2 linked regions of the Lepisosteus oculatus genome follow. The protein of the gene in region 1 purifies or fractionates together with the protein of each later gene. This does not show direct contact. Links are inferred from orthologs where the notes say so. Each region holds a gene or a part of one and is shown in the gene's direction. Other genes may lie near its edges.

Evidence for each region. The genes of interacting proteins can lie anywhere in the genome.
Region 2: the proteins of rbx1 (region 1) and fbxo11b purify together in Homo sapiens (co-immunoprecipitation; 4 studies listed by BioGRID and IntAct, with this or other methods). This does not show direct contact. The link is inferred for Lepisosteus oculatus from reciprocal best matches to the Homo sapiens genes RBX1 and FBXO11.

What each region holds. Positions count from the first base shown.
Region 1 is NC_090707.1:38,079,886-38,090,147, reverse strand, and holds rbx1 (E3 ubiquitin-protein ligase RBX1), read left to right. Parts: upstream 1-5,756; 5' UTR 5,757-5,788; coding exon 5,789-5,866; intron 5,867-6,517; coding exon 6,518-6,596; intron 6,597-7,038; coding exon 7,039-7,109; intron 7,110-7,521; coding exon 7,522-7,607; intron 7,608-8,396; coding exon 8,397-8,409; 3' UTR 8,410-8,662; downstream 8,663-10,262. Other genes in the region: l3mbtl2 (lethal(3)malignant brain tumor-like protein 2), read right to left, coding at 3,692-3,798, 4,381-4,574, 5,024-5,167, 5,514-5,626; st13 (hsc70-interacting protein), read right to left, coding at 10,073-10,204. UniProt on the Homo sapiens protein: E3 ubiquitin ligase component of multiple cullin-RING-based E3 ubiquitin-protein ligase (CRLs) complexes which mediate the ubiquitination and subsequent proteasomal degradation of target proteins, including proteins involved in cell cycle progression, signal transduction, transcription and transcription-coupled nucleotide excision repair.
Region 2 is NC_090712.1:12,876,569-12,886,494, forward strand, and holds the start of fbxo11b (F-box only protein 11), read left to right. Parts: upstream 1-5,751; 5' UTR 5,752-6,006; coding exon 6,007-6,094; intron 6,095-9,926. UniProt on the Homo sapiens protein: Substrate recognition component of a SCF (SKP1-CUL1-F-box protein) E3 ubiquitin-protein ligase complex which mediates the ubiquitination and subsequent proteasomal degradation of target proteins, such as DTL/CDT2, BCL6, SNAI1 and PRDM1/BLIMP1.

The sequences.
Region 1 (10,262 bases):
TCATGAACAAAATAGTGTTATTAGGGCTATTACTTGCATCTAAATTTTACACACAGATATCAAACTTTCTTGTTAAATATTTTCATATCTAGCCTTCAGGCCCTCTTCAGACAGAAGACACCAAACTTGGGTTTGCTGTTTAAAGCCAGGGAGGAAGTAGCTAATCTCTCCCAGCTCGAGGTCATTAGACAGGAAATGGACAAGCCCCCCCCCCCCCCGGGCATCGTGGGAAGTGTAGTTCTCCACCTCACCTGCGGAGAGGAAAACTACACATTTTTAAAGAGGTTACAAAGAGTAGAGGCTTCTCCGTACTCTAGGCCCAAGGTATACTCACATACCCGTTCTCTATTGAGCGCTGATTTGGCCCTCCCACTGCTTTCTGTTTTCATCGGTTGCTTTTCCTGAGTAAAAACGGTAGGAACGGCCCCGGGCTTGAGCCTAAGTTTTGGCTCAGTATCTGAAATGAATATATTTTATATTACGGACCGTCGGGCTTCACAAACACGTAAACTCCAAAGCAGAGAAAAGCTCAACACACAGGTCCTATCCCAAACTGACAACATCTGAAACCGATCTATTACTGTCACAATGAGTCACATGCTTTAGCCCATGCAGATGACGCCACTTTATTCAGTTTAAATATCCTCATGAAGCCCATCCATACAAGGCGACGTGTTTTTTTAGATAGTTAATCTAAGGTTTGCAAAAAAAAAAGAGCGATCTGCCAACCAACATAAATACGCTCATATTCCTTCCCAAATTTGACAAAAGTGCTCTTTCATTTATTTTCTGGTACATCAGACGTGACAGAAAGATTCTAGCAGGGCTTGATATTCTTGGAGGACGTGTCGTGTCACAGCCCGTGTGGATGCCAGGACAGCCGATCTGAATGAGCGCAGCTGACCTGACTTCAACCCAGCGGCTTTGCTGACAAAACCTACTTACTTGTTAACTCAGCTTGCAGATCGCGTTCGAACATTTCTGGGGTGAAGTGCTTGCTGCACAACCTGTGCTTATCTGATCGCGCATCGCGCTGAATCTCCTCGAGGAACGTGTCGACGGGCCCGGCTTCAGCGCCCATGTTGGCTAGCCACCGCCTGGCCAGTTCAATATCTCTTGGAAAAGGAAACAGCCTGACCTTCTGCTGATGAGAGCCCCTGCTTTGGGTGCGGCCACTATGTTCTGAACAGCCAAAGGCACGACAGTGAGGCATCGTCCGAGACACATGCGCGACTCCAAAAGGACAAACAGGAGTGATGTTGTTATAGATAGAAGATCACGCTTCTCGGCCGGCGAGCAGGAAGGGCCGATTTTACGTCACCGCTCTCGCGATCTCTCGTTCTCTCGCCCGTGACGAGTTCGCGTGCTGCTCTCCACCCCCCGCCTGCGACAGCATGGCGACCGCGCTGTGCTTACACAAAAGTTCACGATGTCGCGCTTCGTTCCACATGCGTTAAATTTGGCGATTCTTTTAACGTGCAGTAATCGACTTTGTTACCGAGATCGAATACCCTGGTCTGAGAAATTGTGAGCGCAGCTCCCCTTTAACGAAAACAAGAGGTTAGCGCCCGAAGGCTATACACTGCAAAACCGAGGGATGTTTAAAAAAAAAACAAAATGCACACTTGTTTAAGTCATGCGAACGCTTAAACACCATCAAGCGGTCTTGGATATTGTTTCCTTTGTCTGCACATTAATGCAGTTGTAAGTATTTAGAATTGCCGAACAAAACAACATAACTTACGCGCTCCATGCCGAGTTAGGGCCGGTCAAGTATCTCGCTCCCTATTGGCTAACCGGTAGACCTATCCCACCAATCGCAGCCGAGGTTCATCGCTGAGATCCGCTGAGGGTTCTGGGATTTGTAGTTTCGTACACTTGCGCGGAATAGACGCACGTTCCCTTCGCTGTATCCTAATATACCCGTCTACATAACGCGTTTCTAACACAGTCAGTTAAAACACACCTTAACCCGAAACGCGTGCTCAACAAGTAATCGACATCGGCATCGAATGAGAGCGCTTGTCGTTCTACTCAAATACAGAAAAGAGACGACCGACACGGCTCAGTCACATGGTTCCATGGTGTAATGGTTAGCACTCTGGACTCTGAATCCAGCGATCCGAGTTCAAATCTCGGTGGAACCTGACGTTTTTTAAGTCAGTGTCATTATTAACTTCACATTTACCCTTTTTTTTCCATACAGTTATTTCAAACATTCAGAATATTTCCAGAATCCATTTCTGTGTATAGACAGCACACTTCTGAACCTACCTTTGATACTGCAGATGGCATTCCACATCAAACCCTGAAAAACGTTCTCCATGTGTTTTTATCTTATTGTATGTGCTTATATACTGCATATCATCTTACAGCATGGCTGGGCAGCTTGTTCCACACTCCCACCCCCTCTTGCACACTAATCTGCAAAGGCAGCAGCTTGAGTTGTGTTACTAGTAGAGACAGCTAATAATAATACTACTGCTAATACTAATACTAATAATAATTGATTACTCTTATATAGCGCTTTTCTGGACACTCCACTCACAGCGCTGTACAGGTACTGGGGATCCCCTCCACCCCCACCAGTGTGTACCCCACCTGGATGATGCTCCAGTCCGCTCCCCACACACCAGCTCTCAGTGGGGAGGAGAGCAGAGTGATGGAGCCAGTTCAGAGAGGGGGGTTATCAGGAGGCCATGACTTTTTTTTTCAAGAAAAAAATAATAGTGGTAATAGTAGTCGTGTCAGTGGTAGTATAAGTAACATTAACAGTAGTATCAGTGGTAGTATCAGTGACAGCAGGGGCAGTGTCAGTGGTAGTATTAGTAGCAGTAACAGTAGTATCAGTGGTAGTATCAGTGACAGCAGGGGCAGTGTCAGTGGTAGTATTAGTAGCAGTAACAGTAGTATCAGTGGTAGTATCAGTGCCAGCAGGGGCAGTGTCAGTGGTAGTATTAGTAGCAGTAACAGTAGTATCAGTGGTAGTATCAGTGACAGCAGGGGCAGTGTCAGTGGTAGTATTAGTAGCAGTAACAGTAGTATCAGTGGTAGTATCAGTGACAGCAGGGGCAGTGTCAGTGGTAGTATTAGTAGCAGTAACAGTAGTATCAGTGGTAGTATCAGTGACAGCAGGGGCAGTGTCAGTGGTAGTATTAGTAGCAGTAACAGTAGTATCAGTGGTAGTATCAGTGACAGCAGGGGCAGTGTCAGTGGTAGTATTAGTAGCAGTAACAGTAGTATCAGTGGTAGTATCAGTGCCAGCAGGGGCAGTGTCAGTGGTAGTATTAGTAGCAGTAACAGTAGTATCAGTGGTAGTATCAGTGCCAGCAGGGGCAGTGTCAGTGGTAGTATTAGTAGCAGTAACAGTAGTATCAGTGGTAGTATCAGTGCCAGCAGGGGCAGTGTCAGTGGTAGTATTAGTAGCAGTAACAGTAGTATCAGTGGTAGTATCAGTGCCAGCAGGGGCAGTGTCAGTGGTAGTATTAGTAGCAGTAACAGTAGTATCAGTGACAGCAGGGGCAGTGTCAGTGGTAGTATCAGTGCCAGCAGGGGCAGTGTCAGTGGTAGTATTAGTAGCAGTAACAGTAGTATCAGTGGTAGTATTAGTGACAGCAGGGGCAGTGTCAGTGGAAGTATTAGTAGCAGTAACAGTAGTATCAGTGACAGTAACAGCAGCAGTATCACCTACCTGCAGCTCTGCGATGGGGTCCTGAGGGGAGCCCACATGCCTCTCCACACTCGCCTGCGACGCGGAGCCGTCTGCTGCAGCCGGCAGCCAGCTGGGCGGCGCTGGAGCTGCGGAGAACACAAGGCACAGCGGCTTCCATCGCATCCCGTGTGCTGACCGACACCCTGGGTTCAGGCCCAGTCTAACACGTCCCGAATGGATGAATAAACTGAGCAATAAACAGTCGGCATCTGTGATTCACCAGAACCGGCAAGTCACTAGCAGGAACACAGCCCACATGTTCTTACACGCTGTAAAAAAATTAATAACGAGAAGGCTCAATGCTCAAGCTTACATTACTGTAGCAAATTCCAATCAAACTGTTGCAATAAAAGCAAAAACACAGGCCTTAAGTTTAAAATTGTGGACAATTTATGGTAAAAGTTAAGGTGTGAAGCACAGTTAATTCCCCAAAACGGTTGGATTCGATCCTCTAATCGGGACGGGGGGGCTACTTTACGCAAAGGGCGGGAGTGGGGAACAAGCTTCCCTGCCATGGTTTTGATACCCTGGCTTTTGCCAAGAGGTGTCCGGTTATTTATGGCAGACAGATCTGTTAGTTACTGAAAAAGTAGAGCCATCAGTTACGGCCTCTTCTCCTCTGTGACTGTCCTCATGTCGCCCCCGATCTCCCCGGGCCCTGACCTCACCTCGGGAGGGAGGGGACAGATGCAGGACCCCTCCTGGGACTCCGGGCTCCTCTTCCCCGCCACCCTCTTCGCCAGTGGGACCCGGAGCGCCGCCTTCCGGGCCAAGAGGGGACGCCGGCTGGAACAGCAGAGGCTCGGGCTGCTTGGGCGCGTCCAGCGGCACCACAGGCCCTGCAGGCTCAGCACCGGGGGCCCTGCAGGCGGGAGAATGGAATCCTCTTCACTTTTATCCCACTAGTGATACGGCCAGCAGCTCCACCACCCTGCAGCTCCCAGCCGGCAGCCCCACTGGAGCCCAGCAGGGTGAGCCTGGCCAGTACCTGGAGGGGAGACTCCTGGGGTCAATTGAGGCTGCTGCTGGGAGAGGTGTGAGTGGGGCCAGCAGGGGGCGCTCACCCTGCGGTCTGTGTGGGTCCTGATGCCCCAGTATAGTGACGGGGACACTATACTGTAAAAAGGCACCGTCCTTTGGATGAGACATAAAACTGAGGTCCTGACTCTCTGTGGTCATTAAAAATCCCAGGGCGTCTCTCGACAAGAGCAGGAGTGTAACCCCAGTGTCCTGGCCAGATCCGGTGCCCCATGGTCCTGCCTGGCTCCCTGGGAGAACGCCACCCCCTCCTGCCTCTCGCAGGATGCTTACCGGTTCCTCCTCTTCTTCTGCGGCGTCCAGGCCCGCGGGCCGGTGGCCCGGGTCTTGAAGATGGACGGGCCCCTGTCCTTCTTCCCCTCCGCGAAGTGGCAGCTGCAGAGCCTGGAGAAGACGCTCGGGTCTTTGTCCTGCCGCCTGGAAGAAAAGACCGGCTGGTTGGCCTGACCCTCAGTTCAGGTGCCTCTAGAGGGCCTCTCTGTGTGTTTGTGGGGGGACAGGACAGGAACAGGACTTGTAAGGCAAAGAATCGCCATCCTATTGTTCCTGAACGACACATTTCACGTTTAGAGAAGCTCACAGAAACTACAACCAGACAACCTAAAGCCTTCTGTCAAAACAGGCAGGGGTTTGGTCTGTCACTCAATAGCTCGATACTCTGACGCAAAACAGGCTGCAGGTTTTTCAGAGGCATACTGGTGAAACGAAGACACCTGCCATATGTCACTTTTTAACTGTTTATCCCGCAAAACGGCGTGCCAACCTGCATCGCTCTTGCCAAACTCGGAACTGCCTCAGATCCTTGGGGAAACGGAAGAATTTGCAGGTTTCTCTTTCGCTGTGATGGTTGCAGTCGGGGGCAAAACACTGGACCATCGCAAACGCGTCCTTCTGCGGCGGGCCGGCAGGCTGCAGGTACAAAGTCAGGCTTCGTGTGGAACCGCAGGCCCTGTTGTTATGGGGACCGTGATGTCACAGCTCGCCGCCGGAAGCGACGGCCAGCGCAGGCGCTCAAGAGCCAGGGTTCCCAGAGACAAGATGGCGGCAGCGATGGATGTGGACGCCCCGAGCGGGACCAACAGCGGAGCCAGCAAGAAGCGTTTCGAAGTGAAAAAGGTACTTTGAGTAATTCGAGGAGGAAAAATTAAGGACGGAGGGACGGAGAGAGATTAAGTTGATGACTGTTGTTAATCGGTTGTAACATACAGGTGTTTGGGGAGTAATACTGGACGCTTTGCGGTGTTTTTGCGTGGTTAGCTAACGATGGCTAATGGGCTTACGGATTTATTTCCGTAGGCTTTTCTGAGGGCGCCAGCTTAAACTATTTTTGTCGGGCGCCTGCTTTTTGAGAATAACAAGTGTGTATTCGTGTTTCAGCCGGTTCAGTTCTCCTCGCTTTTTTTGAATGACGAAGCTGTTTCTTTTCTCAAGCGCCGACAAAGCTGGTCGGGAGGGAAAAAAGCAATACACTTTTCAGCACCTCGGACACGGTTTACAGCACCAGATGCCCCTTTTAATAAATAATAATTAATTAATGAATAATAACAACAACAACAACAACAACAGCGCCCAGTAGCGCCGCTCTGCCGGATTACTCGGCCCTCCCGATGTGAGGCCGGGCGAGACTCACGAATGTCGCAATAACAACATGCAGGCAGAGAACACGAGCGGGTGGACACATCTCGAGCGGGTGGCCGGTCAGGGTCAGCCAGGTTGGTGCATGCACTGTCAGTAAGTGAAGTGTTCTGTCTTTCCCCCCGCTGCTAGTGGAATGCAGTAGCGCTGTGGGCCTGGGATATCGTGGTGGACAACTGTGCCATCTGCAGGAACCACATCATGGACCTGTGTGAGTAAATGGGAGTTCTACTGTACTGACTGCAAAACACTGACAGCGCAGAGCTGTGTGAATGCAAGGACACAGTAAGAGTGCACAGACATGAATTATACTGTTCTGACACTGATGCACTGACAGCGCAGAGCTGTGTGACTGTACAGGCATGGTTAGAGTGTTGAGACTAATTATACTGACTCCAATACACTGACAGCCCAGAGCTGTGTGAATGCACTGTCACAGTATGAGTGTACAGACATGAATTATACTGTACTGATGCACTGACACAGTATGAGTGTACAGACATGAATTATACTGTACTGATGCACTGACACAGTATGAGTGTACAGACATGAGATCCAGACGCTGGTGTCTTACTCAGGTGCCAGTCCTAAGGTGCCTCTGAAGCTCACAGGGTAACACGCTGCTGTGTTTTTCTCTCTCTCTCTCTCTGCAGGTATTGAATGTCAGGCCAACCAGGCTTCTGCTACGTCTGAGGAGTGCACTGTGGCCTGGGGCGTCTGCAATGTAAGACTGAGCGCTCTCCCTCCCTCCCTCCCTCGACCTCCTCTGGGCCTCATCCGCACAGACGCCACCGCCACGCTGGGCTCTCCCAGACAGCCGGTTTTCGCCCTGTCTAGCCCCTCAGAGGGGCACACGGGTGGCACTGGCGCCGTGTGAACGAACAGAGTAGCCGCGAGGGGGGTTCCCCTACGGGCGTGGGGGCGAACCCGCAAACGCCCCGCCCCCCTCCTGTAATCCGTGCCGCTTGTCTGAACCCCCCTGTCTGGAAAGGGGGGTGTGGAGATGAGTGGAAACAGGAGCCAGAGCTGCCCCCGGTATCTGGAACCTGAGCCCCCCTCCCCCCCCCCCTGCTCGACCGACCTCTCGGAAAGACCCCCAAGCTGACCGCCCCTCCTCTCCCCTTGCTCTCCCGCAGCACGCCTTCCACTTCCACTGCATCTCGCGCTGGCTGAAGACGCGACAGGTCTGCCCCCTGGACAACCGGGAGTGGGAGTTCCAGAAGTGAGTAGCTCCCCTGGAGTGTCCTGCCAGGATAGACAGGATCCCCTGCCGGGCATCCCTGCCTGGATAGACAGATACTTTATTGATCCCGTGAGGGAAACTGCAGTGCAACAGCAGCTTAACACAGAAACAGTGTAACGAATGATACAATAATAATAATACAGTACAATCAGTACAGTGAGAAGGGCACCAAGAAGAGTTACTCACAGTCCAGAACACACAAAGAACAGAACAGGGCTCTCTCCTTCCTGCTCATACTAAAATAGTTTAAAATATGCTTTGGCACCAGGATGGAGTTTTTAGGCTGGGGGGGGGGGGTGTGTATATATAGAGGAGGTCTGTTTTGTGAATGAACGCCCTTCCTGGCTAGCCTGGGCGTGAAGAGCAACACTCGGGATGAATTGTGGAATGTTGATGAGCTGTTTGTCCAGTCACAGTGCTCCCAGAGACGGGACCGAGCTCGGTCTAACGGTTATTGATTATTCGAGGTAGCACGCTCTCCTGCGGCACTGCGATCGAACCAAGAGCTGATTAATATTCATTCGCGTCTCGCGAATCGCGTTCTGGTAAAGGCGAGCTGTACGCTTGCGGGGCGCGCAGTTTGTAGAGCAGGTGTGCAGTCCGTGTCTGCCAGGACGAGAGGTGTGTAGCGTGTGTGCACCTGTGTGCTGGAATCGGGATCGTCTGGTGTGCAATATCCTGTTCCCTCTGGCAGGGCGGGCGGGTGGGTGGGTGGGTGGTGCTGTTACCTGGTGTAATGATTGATTTGTGCTTTCCTTGCCCTTGCAGGTACGGACACTAGGGTGAAGGACAGTGGACTGGGCAGTGGCTACGCTACAGGTCGCTGGCGTACAGCCCCTCCCTCCTCCTCCTCTCCTCCCCTCTGCACGCGGGCACTGGCCCCGGGCCTGGCCCCAGCTGTTGTGTGGGGTGCACTCTCTCTCTCGACTGCGTCTCCCCATGAGCTGGCATGAAATAGTCTGAGTTTTTTTTTTAAAAAAAACACGTTCACGGTCCGTTTGTAAATTATAAATAAACCTCTGTGTTCAATGTAAGGAGGCTTCCTGTTGTCTGTTTTTTTTTTTTTGGATGGGTGGAGCAGTGGTTCCCGGTGCTGGTTCTGGTGACCCACACACCTGCCCGTTCTTCTTCCAGACCCAGTCAGAGGCTTTGTTGCCGTATCCTGAACTGTTTGTTCGCGGCTCATCAATGCGGTCAAGCTCTAACCGGCGTGTTTGTTTAACGTGAAATTAAACCCCAAACTTGTGACTACAACCACAATGCAAATATTCCAAAGAAGACGGGCTTTGATTGTCTAATTTGGGGGGGTGGAATGGAACCGAGCAGGTGTGGGGGTCACCAGGACCAGGATTGAGGGAGAGGGCAAAGTAGGAACAATGGGAGATGTAAAAGTGCGTTCTGTGATGCAGGAATGCTGTGATCGTGGGTGAAATCTAACTGAGAGTGCAACTAGTCTGCTGCACTTCCACTGCCCTGGAGCCAGGTGAACCTCTTTCTACACCAGTGGGGTTTAACCTGCTGTCCAATATATACATTGTGTGAGCTAAATAGGAAACAAAGATAGTGCTGTACCACTTTTCTTTTGCTTAAATGGATTTGCATATCGCCCCCCCCCCCCCCCCCATAGCTGTGTGTTCTGAGGCCGTGTGACTGATACTGTGGGGTGGAGCTTGGGTCATGTGACCAGTTGCCTCTGCCCCAGTCCTGGTCCTGGGGGGTCAGTCAGTGTGTCTGCAGCAGGGCTGTCTAGTCAGTTGTGTGAACTGAACACAGCCCCTGCCGTAGTATGGGCTGATGATTTAAAAGCTCCTGAAGATCAAGGTTACACAAAAAAACACTCCAAATGACTCCAGAAAAAACATTTTCATGTCTTTATTTTTTTTTAGATTTGATTTAATTCATTTAATTCCCAACACAAAAGCTAGATATTTAGTGCTCTTCTCCATTTCAGAGAGCTGTCCTTTGCTTTAACAATTAAAAAAAAAATCTTGAAGTAGAGAAGTAAATAGGAAAGCTGCAAGTTAAACCTTGGGTTTGCACACCTGGATACACCAACAAACATCGCCCACTAAGGGGGCAGTTAAATATTCCCTGGGGTGCCCTGGACAGTGCTAGTTGCCTCTGGATCTTATCTCCTGAGTGGGTGCTTCAGGTATTGGCAAAACCTGCCCTTAGTTGGACTTCTGCAGTTCTTGATAGCCCCCCCGTTTTAACATCCTCCCCTGAAGGAGAAGGGGGCAGGTGGGATGCTCCCAGCTCTTTGAGGTTCTGGATACAGACTTCATCAGGGCCTTGCGTAGAGAGAAAGGTGTCCTGGCAGGGCAGATCGCCCCCTCCACCCCAACAGCCACAGCTGCGCACAGTGTGCTTTCTGTCATTCACTAATCCTCACCTGCCCTGCCCCCCCCAACACCCACTTCCACCCTATACCCCCACCCCCAGCTTTAGGGCTGAGCCCCCCCAAACTTGGCAGACAGTTTAGTGATGAGGGCCATGATCTTGGGATTGCTCTGGTACTTGGAGATGTTGGCTGGGTTCTGAGCCACATCCTGGAAGGCTGCCATCACCTCAGGGTCCTGGAGGAAGAGAGAGAGAGGGGTTAGTACAGACACAGGGACTGGACACTCCAGTACA
Region 2 (9,926 bases), on another chromosome or scaffold:
AGTGCTGAGGTTAGACAAGGATGGATGGATGTGTTATTAATAGAATATCTATTAACCCTCTATTTATCCAACTTAATCTAAGGAGTTACTGTAACAGGAAGTGTTAGGAGAGATATCAATATTTCCTTAACCCATCCCAGAATTATTACTAGGCTGCCTATGTTCCAAGTCTTGGTACATGTCTCAGGCTCATAAAGTCTAACCATGTACAGTGATCAGATACTGAGCTGTTATTGCGGAATATATGTCTATTGCAAGACATGCTGGCATATTGAGTTTGAATATATATTTAATTTTTTAACTTATTGGAGAAGATTAAGGTTGAATTTTAAGTACTTTTCTGCTACAGAGTACAGTTCTGTGGCTTCTGAAATCTAACAACATGGATATGGATATTAATGACTAAGTATTGATACAATTAATATGTGCCGAACTCAACTAATAAAGTGACAAAAGTTAAATCTGTAGAGTAAAGATTTCCATTCTTCAGAGTGTTAGTCAGAATACTAACACTCTGAGGTCACTGCAGCCAGTGGCACAAGAATAAAGAGGCATTGGATGAAATTCCTTCATGGAAAATTCATGGAATGCTGGTACTCACAATTGTGTCTTTCATCAGCACAATCATGTAAAGAAAAGATTCGCTGGTAGGCAGCAGTAAGTGTACACTAGAATGCTACTCTGTACTTTAATGCCAATGAAATGCAAGGAATGAGTACATAGTTGGTGCTGTTCCCTGGTTTCCCAGCAGGTGGTACTATTTTGCAATGACAATGCTGCCCAGTTGATCATGAGTTGGAAAGACAATTATTGTAACTGAAACACAATATGTGTCTGTAGTATTTAAGAAATGCACAGTAAATGTAATTAAAGGATTTATTTCTTTTTGTGCCAAACAGTATACTACAAATATTTACACTAATATTGCAATTACTAGCTTTAGTAGTAGTATTTTAAAGGCTTGCAAGTTTAAAATTGTGCAAGAAAGCCACACAGCATATGCACATCAACAAGAAAATGTATTACTTTGGAAAATAGAATAGTTTATTTCATTGATTGTCGAACCACGCTTATTTGTCACTTAAGCAGGGTATTGTTTCAGTCTCTTATTAGAAAATAACGTGGCCGAAGTTGATGAATATGGGTGGCTGAGCTGTACTATGACAGGAAAGCAGTGAGGGTGAAGGGTGTGTTGAGAGAGGAGAGACCAGCAAGGTCTTGGTGGTGATGGGGGGTCGAGGCAGTACAAACGTTTGATCAGCAGGGCACGGATCTTTTTCTTTTTAATTGCTGGAGTAGGAGGGCTGCGCCCAGTTAACCCACGACAACAGCAAAGCCACAGTCAGCTCCTGATGACACGGGCTGACTTGTTGCGAAGGAAACGTGTGTGAGAAACAGAGTGGTGGCTTTGTGCCAGCCCAGAGCCACGGAAACGCACACTCTGCAGGGGCAGACAACCGAGAAGCAGCTCTCCTTCACAGGTGCAGTTTGCCAGTTCTTCCAATAATAAATTCCCCAGACGTGTCTGAATGTATGCAGCTTCAGCAGCCTGTACGCACAATTGAGAGCCAAAGCTGGGGTTATGCTTAGGGATAGAGGTTAGGGTTGAGTAGTAGTAGTACAGAGGGGGGCTTCTGGAAAGTTAGCAAGCCATCATAAACAGCTTCTTAACCAAATTCCTTTTACTGTCTGGAAAATTCACAGCATATTCTTTCACTGGAAGGGCTAATCAGTGTTTATTTAACTTTCAAAAGGGAGACGTTAATCTAAACTGTATGAAAACCATTCTTCATTTTTCAGACAGGAATTGACTTTATTATACTGTAGAAAAAGAAATGAGTGCCTGAGAGATTATGCAATTAAAAACTCTAATAATCTGATAATCTAGATATCATCCACTAATGAGAATCCCCAAGTGGCAGTGTGCATTTGGGCAAGCACTGTCTGGGTTTTTGAAAAAGAGAGCTGCAGCATTTTGAGCTGCACAGTTGTGTCTACCTGTGCTGCATACACTTGGGTTAACCTGTCAATAGGCAAAGTGAAAGAGTCGGGCTTGTTATCATTTGGCAGATCCAAAATGTGGACAATATAAACAGAGACGTAATAGGTGGTTCCCAAAATATGAAATGATAAAAGTAAGCATTCAAGGGGTCCTCCTTCACCAGAACGTTTGTTTAGGGGATAGCAACCTGAGCAGATTTTTTTTTCCCTAAAAAGTCTCTGCAATAATTTACTGAAAGGTGCACCTCTGTCTCTTCTACCATGAAGCAAAACTCTGTGGTTACTTGAGTTGCTGGTTTAACAAAGGACACACCCAAAATGTGATGCAATCAGTGTTTTGCTGTATTATATTTTGGGAAAGATATTGAGTATTCTACCTGGATCCCACACCATCATCAGCTTCTTTTGGTGCCAAGATACAATTTAACAAGCCTGTGAATACTGTTATTTGCTTTAAATTTGCCCCCCAAAAAACAAAACATAAATATACAAGATCAGACTCACTGATAAATCATTCATTCTAGCATTGTCCCAGAGGTTTTAATTGTGACTCTTTAGTAGTGGGATATAGTAAACCGTTCTACATCTAGGACCCAAAACAAGATAAAAAAAACTTATTTCTCTCACATGCTGAAGTTGGAGAAGTTAATTTGTGTCTCTAAACTATCAATGTTTATACTGTACACACATGCTTTAATATTAGTGTGTGTCCTGCAAAGGAATAGTGTTTGGTTTGGGACATATATATTTTTTAATCATTCTATGCTTCTGGGATAGTTTCCCAGATAAGTAGCTTCCTGATAATGGATAGATGTTTGGATTTCCTTATTTTTGGATCGCATTGTAACACATACCTTTCCAGAAATGGGAAGGGCTCAAATTATGGTATGGACCTTCGTGAGGTCAGCCCTGTCATAAATTGAGCAGTCAAATAATAATAATAATAATAATAATAATAATAATAATAATAATAATAATAATAATCTGGCCATAGCGCGCCAGAACACTCACCACACATCAGCTATCAGTGGGGAAGAGAGCAGAGTAATGAAGCCAATTCATAGAGGGGGATTATTAGGAGGCCATGATTGGTAAGGGCCAATGGGAAACTTGGCTAGGACGCCGGGGTTACACTCCTACTCTTTTCGAGAAACGCCCTGGGATTTTTTAATGACCACAGAGAGTGGTCATTAAAATTTAATGACCATTAAAATCCATTGGTCCACATATTTCATACAGGTGTGAATCAGGTATGAATTTACAGTGAGCATTATCAATGTCAAAAAAAGTTAAAACAATATGTGATGGAGACATTTCACCAAAAGCTCTTACATACTGTATTTATACTGTTTTTAAATCATGTAAACAACTGGAGATTATTAAACCTGTACAAAGTCACTGAATATATCCACTGTGTCTATGTACCAACTACATGCTAAAGCTATTAGCTATTAGTCTGGGAAAAGCAGCTGTAATTAAAAATACATACTAGAAACACAGGCAAATTGCCATTGGACTGTTAAGATAAGTGCAGTTAATGTTTAGCCAGATATTAACAACTGGGACAGTTGGTTGGTTGGATTAATAAGAACCTGGTGGTGTTTTAGTACATGCAAGTAATTTCAAACCTATGAGTCTTTAAACAAATGCCCTTGGCACAGAAACCATTGTAAAAACTAACAGAAGAATTAAACTGAGAAAAATTAAATGAAATTCTAACTCAGCCCCATAAGGGTGAAGTGCAGAAAGCCATTTTGCAGAAGGGTTTGGAGTGGAAAGAGGCTGAAATGGCTCAGGATCTTCTTATCAACTAAATCATAATCTTGTAGTTTTAGGGTTGGGCTTAGAGATCACCTTTCAGGGGAGAAGAAATGTTTTCTTGCATCAGGCCTTCTATGTTTACAATTAGAAAACACAAATCTCTCCTCATGTTTACTCCAGCATTTGTGTGAACATGTTGCTATTAACCGGTGCTTAGTACCCATTACACTTTGTGTCATTCCAGGGGCTGTGTTAGTGCTACACTTCACAGTACAGTATGTACAGTACAGAGTATTACCATGGGAGGTGCAGTGGATCTGTGGCTGGAAGGATCTGCACCTGTGGCTGGAAGGTTGCTGGTTCAAATCCAGCGTCCGGCAGAGGAGTCCTACTTCGTTGGGCCCCTACGTAAGGCCCTTAACCCAAACTGCTCCAGGGGTGCTGACCCTGTGCTCTGACCCCAAGCTTCTCTCCCTGTCTGTGTGTCTCATGGAGAGCAAGTTGGGATATGTGAAAAAGACAAATTCCTAATGCAAGAAATTGTGTATGGCCAATAGTGATCTTATCGTATCTTACATTGAAACAGACAGTGAGGAAACAACATATTTTTATTTTAAGAAACAAGTTAAGGTTTATTTCATGCTGAAAAAAGAAGAAAGGAAACACAGCATTTCAGCTGTGGAATCTTCTTCAGGTATCAACGCTCTTCAATGTACACCCAAAGAAGGCTCCACAGCCGAAATGTTGTTTCCTTCCTTTTCTTTTCAGCAGGAAATAAACCTTTACTTGTTTCTTTGCAGCCTACGCATGCTGATGCATCTACCTACTTGAACTATATTGATTTTAATTTGAGTGACCACACTTCTTCAATTCATTGTCCTTCATTACATTGTATTGTTTGTAATTATTTTCTACAGTCTTTATCAAGGCATAAAAGGTCAAGTGACATGGTGTCTACTCCTTGCCTCCTGGGCTTTATTTCTGCTTGGGCACCTGTCTCGGTAGAATTTGCATGTTCACGTGGGATTTCGCTGGGTGCTTCAGTTTTCTCCCACCTCACAAAGATTTCAGGTTATATCAGAGTTTTCAAATTGTCCCTTTAAAGGACAATGTTACGGAGGAGTTTCAAAGTGATTTCAAACAGCCCCATTTCATTTGTGATCTTCCTGATGTGTTTGGCCCAGGTGAGTGAGTCATCTTATAGGATCAAGTAATTTTTTCAAGTTTCTTGTATAGAATATTGTTTTGTAGATGGAGATTCTAAGTAAATAAAATGAACAAAACCAACAACCCAAAATAAGCTATTATAAATACTGGTGCCTTTATTTCCTCCGTGACTAAACCTTTGTTCCTATTATTAAACGACCCCCCTCCCCCCATACTATGAAATGGCTGTATTGTTCCCTAATGACTAATTATTATGTAGAGGCATACCAGTAAAATAAATATTGCATGCGTACAGAACTCATTAAGACTTTCTCATACGTCATACTAATTATCCGTGGTTTTGGTCAGCATGCAAATATTTTTTTTGAATATACATAAGGAAAGCATACATCGCATTATCTTATTTAAAAAAAAATCCTTAAATCTACACAGACGAGACATAATCTAAAATGATGAAAATATGGAATGCAACGAATGCTGAGTCTATGCACCTTTAAATGCAACAACGGTTTGTGCATTAATAACATGCAAGTATATCATGGCTGTAACTAATGATGACTCTTTCCACGCATTTGATTTAGAAATCAGTTTCCTGTCAGCTGAAAGTGATAACAAGACTATATTGCCTAGCTGGCCCAGCTAAGGCGATGGTGTATTTCACCGAACTGCGCTTTAACGATTTTGTGGTACCTTTTTATTTCCACTCTCCGGCATCCAAGTCAGAACCCTACTAAGTATTTTAAAAGAGGCATTCCTATTTGCAGTGGCTTCTAAAAACTATGAACCGTTGCCTGCGATTGGTGGAGAGTCTTCCCGTGTGATATTTTTTTGTGAGTGTGTCTCTCTGTGAGTAAATGGCTCCTCCTGCCAGAGTGAGACGGAGCTGAGACAGAGGAGTACAGGGGGAGCATTAAGAAAAACATAAATAACATCCAAAAAATAACGATTCCGAGACGGGATAAGCATTTTTTTTACATTAGGGGGAAAACGGAATTTTAAATTGGGTTGAACGTTAAGAAAATTTAGGCAAATTATAGGGAAGGGTTCGAATTTTTTAAAAAATAATAAACTCCCCAAATGAACTCCGTCAGAGCAACCAACAGAAGACCCAGGCGAGTGTCGAGGCCGCGCCCGGTGCAGCCGGAAAGGAACAACGGAGAAAGAGGTAAGAATTAGTCTTTATATATTACCGGTGAAAGGTTGTGTTTTTGAAAGATATTACTGTAGTGTTACGTACAATGCAAAACGATTTCGCCTTGTGCCCTGTTTACAGCCGGTGGGCTGTGGGCCGTACTGTTTGGTAGACTCACATTAGGAAAACGCGAGGCTTCGCTTTAGTGGCCGATAGGATAGGCCGCGCTTTGTTTGGCTTGGCTTGCTCCTAATCCCTGCTGATGTGAGTACTGTTTGGGGATCGTCGTTTCCAGTGTAACTATGATAACATTTATTTTAAACAATGAAAGAATTTCTCCCCCCCAAAATTATTATTAACACATCGTGTTTTACTAAATAGTTACTTGCGTTGTGTTTTTCGTCTTAGTGTTCTTCCCTGTTTGAGGGGGTGTAGTGTTTAATGTTAACTTACTTGGCAACCCCCTTAGCAATCATTTGTCTTTTAAATGGTATCCCTGATAGCAAGCAGTACTATGGTGTATGTTTACGGTGGGTTTACTGCGTAGTTGAGGCTGTACTTAGCTACAGGAGCTTACTAAACACTAGAATCGACCTAGTGACGGGTGGAAATGTTAATAATCTAAACATGTAATTGATTTGTGTTTGGTTTATTTTTGTGCATAACCGCAGTATATCATGCCTTTCATGGGGTCTTTCGTATATTCAGGCCTTGGGTTGGGTGCCGATTGGCATCTGTGATGATCAATCACGCACCATTGTCTTCAGAAGTAGGCATTTTAAAACAACGCGTAGACAAAAGTCTGTTTTTTTACGTAAACACATTTTCGGTTTCGAAGTGACGTACAGTGAGAGGCCCAGTGTCTTACATTACGCAGGAAAAAAAGGTTTTTTAGTATATTGGTAAATGTTGATCAAGCTATTCCTGAATATTGGGTCATGTCTTGCAACTCAAGCAGGAGGTGTCAATAAGGGATTTTCATTTGTGCAGTTTGACTTTTAGTGACAGCAGGGCCGAGGTTGATTAAGTTCTCAGGAATTTCCATGTTTTTCAGCCTTTTAGTTTCTTGAGAGGTTGTTACAGTCTGATCATATAGACTCTATTATATTATTTATCTCTTCAGTCATGTCACAAAAAGCAGTAAAATGTTATGAAATTCCTGAAAAAGAAACATGATCAGAAAGCACATAAAAACTCCACATACAAAGTTTATAGAAATTTCAAATTTAGGTCAACTTTTACAAATGCTTTAGGAACATAATCCAAACTGCTACCAGTCTACCAGTAGTCTTTTACAGACATGGGGGGGAATTATATATATTTTTACTTAAAATAATTTGTAAGTGCCAATACCTGCTAATGGTATGTTAGTTTTGCTATTTTTTATGCGGGCACATGTTGATTTCTGGAAAACAATTTTTTTTTGTTCTTGTGTGTATTTCTCCATAGCTAGAGAGAGATCAATGTACTGGGGGAGAGAAATAAAAACATGTTTTGACATTTCCTGTAGTCCAGTGTCATGTTTTGCCAAAATGTAAACTATAGTAGTAAAACTGTTACTATGACACAAATGGGCAGTGAAATCTGTATGGTGACACTTGCTAAATTTGAGTCTGTCAGGATTTAAAATGCTTTACCAAACAATTTACAGTTTAGAAAAAAATCAAATGGTGAACGTCTTTTGTGGTGGCTGGCATGGTGGCTGTAGAAGTTGGTTAGCATAGCTGTTTCGCAGCAGTGTGGCCCGGTGTTCAATTCCAGACCTAGGCTGCTATCTGTGTGGAGTTTATATGTTCTCTCTGTGTTCATGTGGGTTTCCTCTGGGTGTTCTGGTTTCTTCCCATAGCCCATAAACCTAAAGATGAGTTAATTGGCTTCTAGAAAAATTCTGGTGTGAGTGTGTGCCCTACAATGGACTAGCATCCTGTCCAAGATCTATCCTGTTTTGCGCCCCCTGCTTGCTGGGTTAGGTCCCCCCGCAGCCTTGAACTGGATGAAGAGGTTAGAGAATGGATGGGTGTCTTTTGTGCACAGATGGCGCAGTGGTGCAGAGGTTAGCATTGCTGCATCATAGCACTGGAGCCCTGGGTTCAGTGTCTGGGGAACTATCTGCATGGCGTTTTATATTCTCCCTGCATTCATGTGAGTTTCTGCCTGGTGCTCTGGTTTCCTACCATGGTCCGGGGACATACTTGCGTCCCGTCCAGGGTATATCTTGTCTTGTGTCCATTGTTTGCCAGATAGGCTATAACTCCGTTGCACATCAAAGTATGGAGGAGCATTACCATCTTGTAGCCTGATCTCATCCTATCTTGTTGGACATTGTCAAATTCGGGATGGAAGACCAGGTTGCCACTGTAAGTGGTATTGATAGACCAGTAGGTGGCACTTTTCCTTCTGTACAGTGATGTCAAAGCCTATTATGGCAACTGGACAGTGTAATGTAAGAGGTGCTGACCTTTGTATAGAGCATTAAACTGAAGTCCTGACTACATGACTTTTAAGTATCACGTGTTGCTGTTTGTAAGAGAAGTGTCATTCTGCTTTTGGCTTGCACAATCGGCCCTCTCTGAATTGCCCCCTCAACTCAATTGAAGTCATTTTCACTTCTCTGCCTCATCTGCTATGTAGTGAGCCTTCTGGTGCATAATGGCTGCTGCGTGTCACTCAGTTGGACGCTACATTTTAGTGGTGGATGAAGTGGTTCCCCTGAAATATGTGGAACACTGGGGTTTTGGGGGATGAAAAGCACTGTAGAGATGTAAGAAATTGTTTAATACTTTCCATCAGTTTCCATTGTAGTGAGTGATGCTCATTCAAAAAGATGGGGGGTGGGGAGGGAATAGGGATGTAAGCATTGTTGACACTATTTCTGATAAGAAATAACCAAAGATGGCCCATCCGAGCACAGCAGACAGTTAACGTTTTGATTGAGATAACTGCGTAGACAGTGTGTGGCAATCCGTCTTGGCATGGTAGGCCTTTGTCAAGTTTCCAGCAAAAGCCAATCAAGGTGTCATGCCCCACACCCCATGCAAAAGAGCGTGTGATTTAAGCTGCAGGAATGCATAGGTGGTTTTCCTTTGTGGGAGCGGCATTTGTGCTTCTTATATCCATTTTACTCTCTGACCTGGTGCTGTTAATGGCAGGTAAAGGACTCATGAAAGCACAGCAATGCTATTCTTTGCAACTGAAGAATTAACAATGTTGGGCTAAAGAATAATTCTGATTTGAAATACAATTATTGAATCTGTTGGTTAAAATGCATCAAAACATCAAGGAAGAAATAGGAATGTCTTGTCTAATTGTTACTTTTTAGTTAGTTCCTAGTCCTGTGTTTTTTTTTAATTCATTTACATGGCCGAATACAGATCTCTTTCTCTGTTTTCATGATTTGTTTAATTGCTAACATTGCTTTTCTTTACAAGTATAGTTGGTACAAGAGCCTGCAGCCTGGAATACCTGATGAAGCTGCAAGCAGTGGGAGGCTTTTCTTCACCTGTTTATATGTAGTACATAGTATTGGTGTTGTACCATGGATGTTGACATTCTTGTCAGATCATTATCTTAATGCATTTTATGTGAACAGGACATTTGAATTAATATCAGGTTTGCTGGAACGTGGATGAGAGTCTAGACTATATAGTTCTTATGCGTGCAAACATCAATGTATTCTTAATATTACTAATTTGTCTGTTTCTTTGACATCTTATTGTTGTACTACAGTCTACAGAGTGGTGGTATGGCCTAACAGTTGAGGCAACTACTGAAGTGCCATTTTGGTGACCTTGTGACATTTTCACAAAATGTCTTCAGAGCATCTTAATTGTTTGTGCCCCAGTCATTGTTTTATATAAGCTTCTAT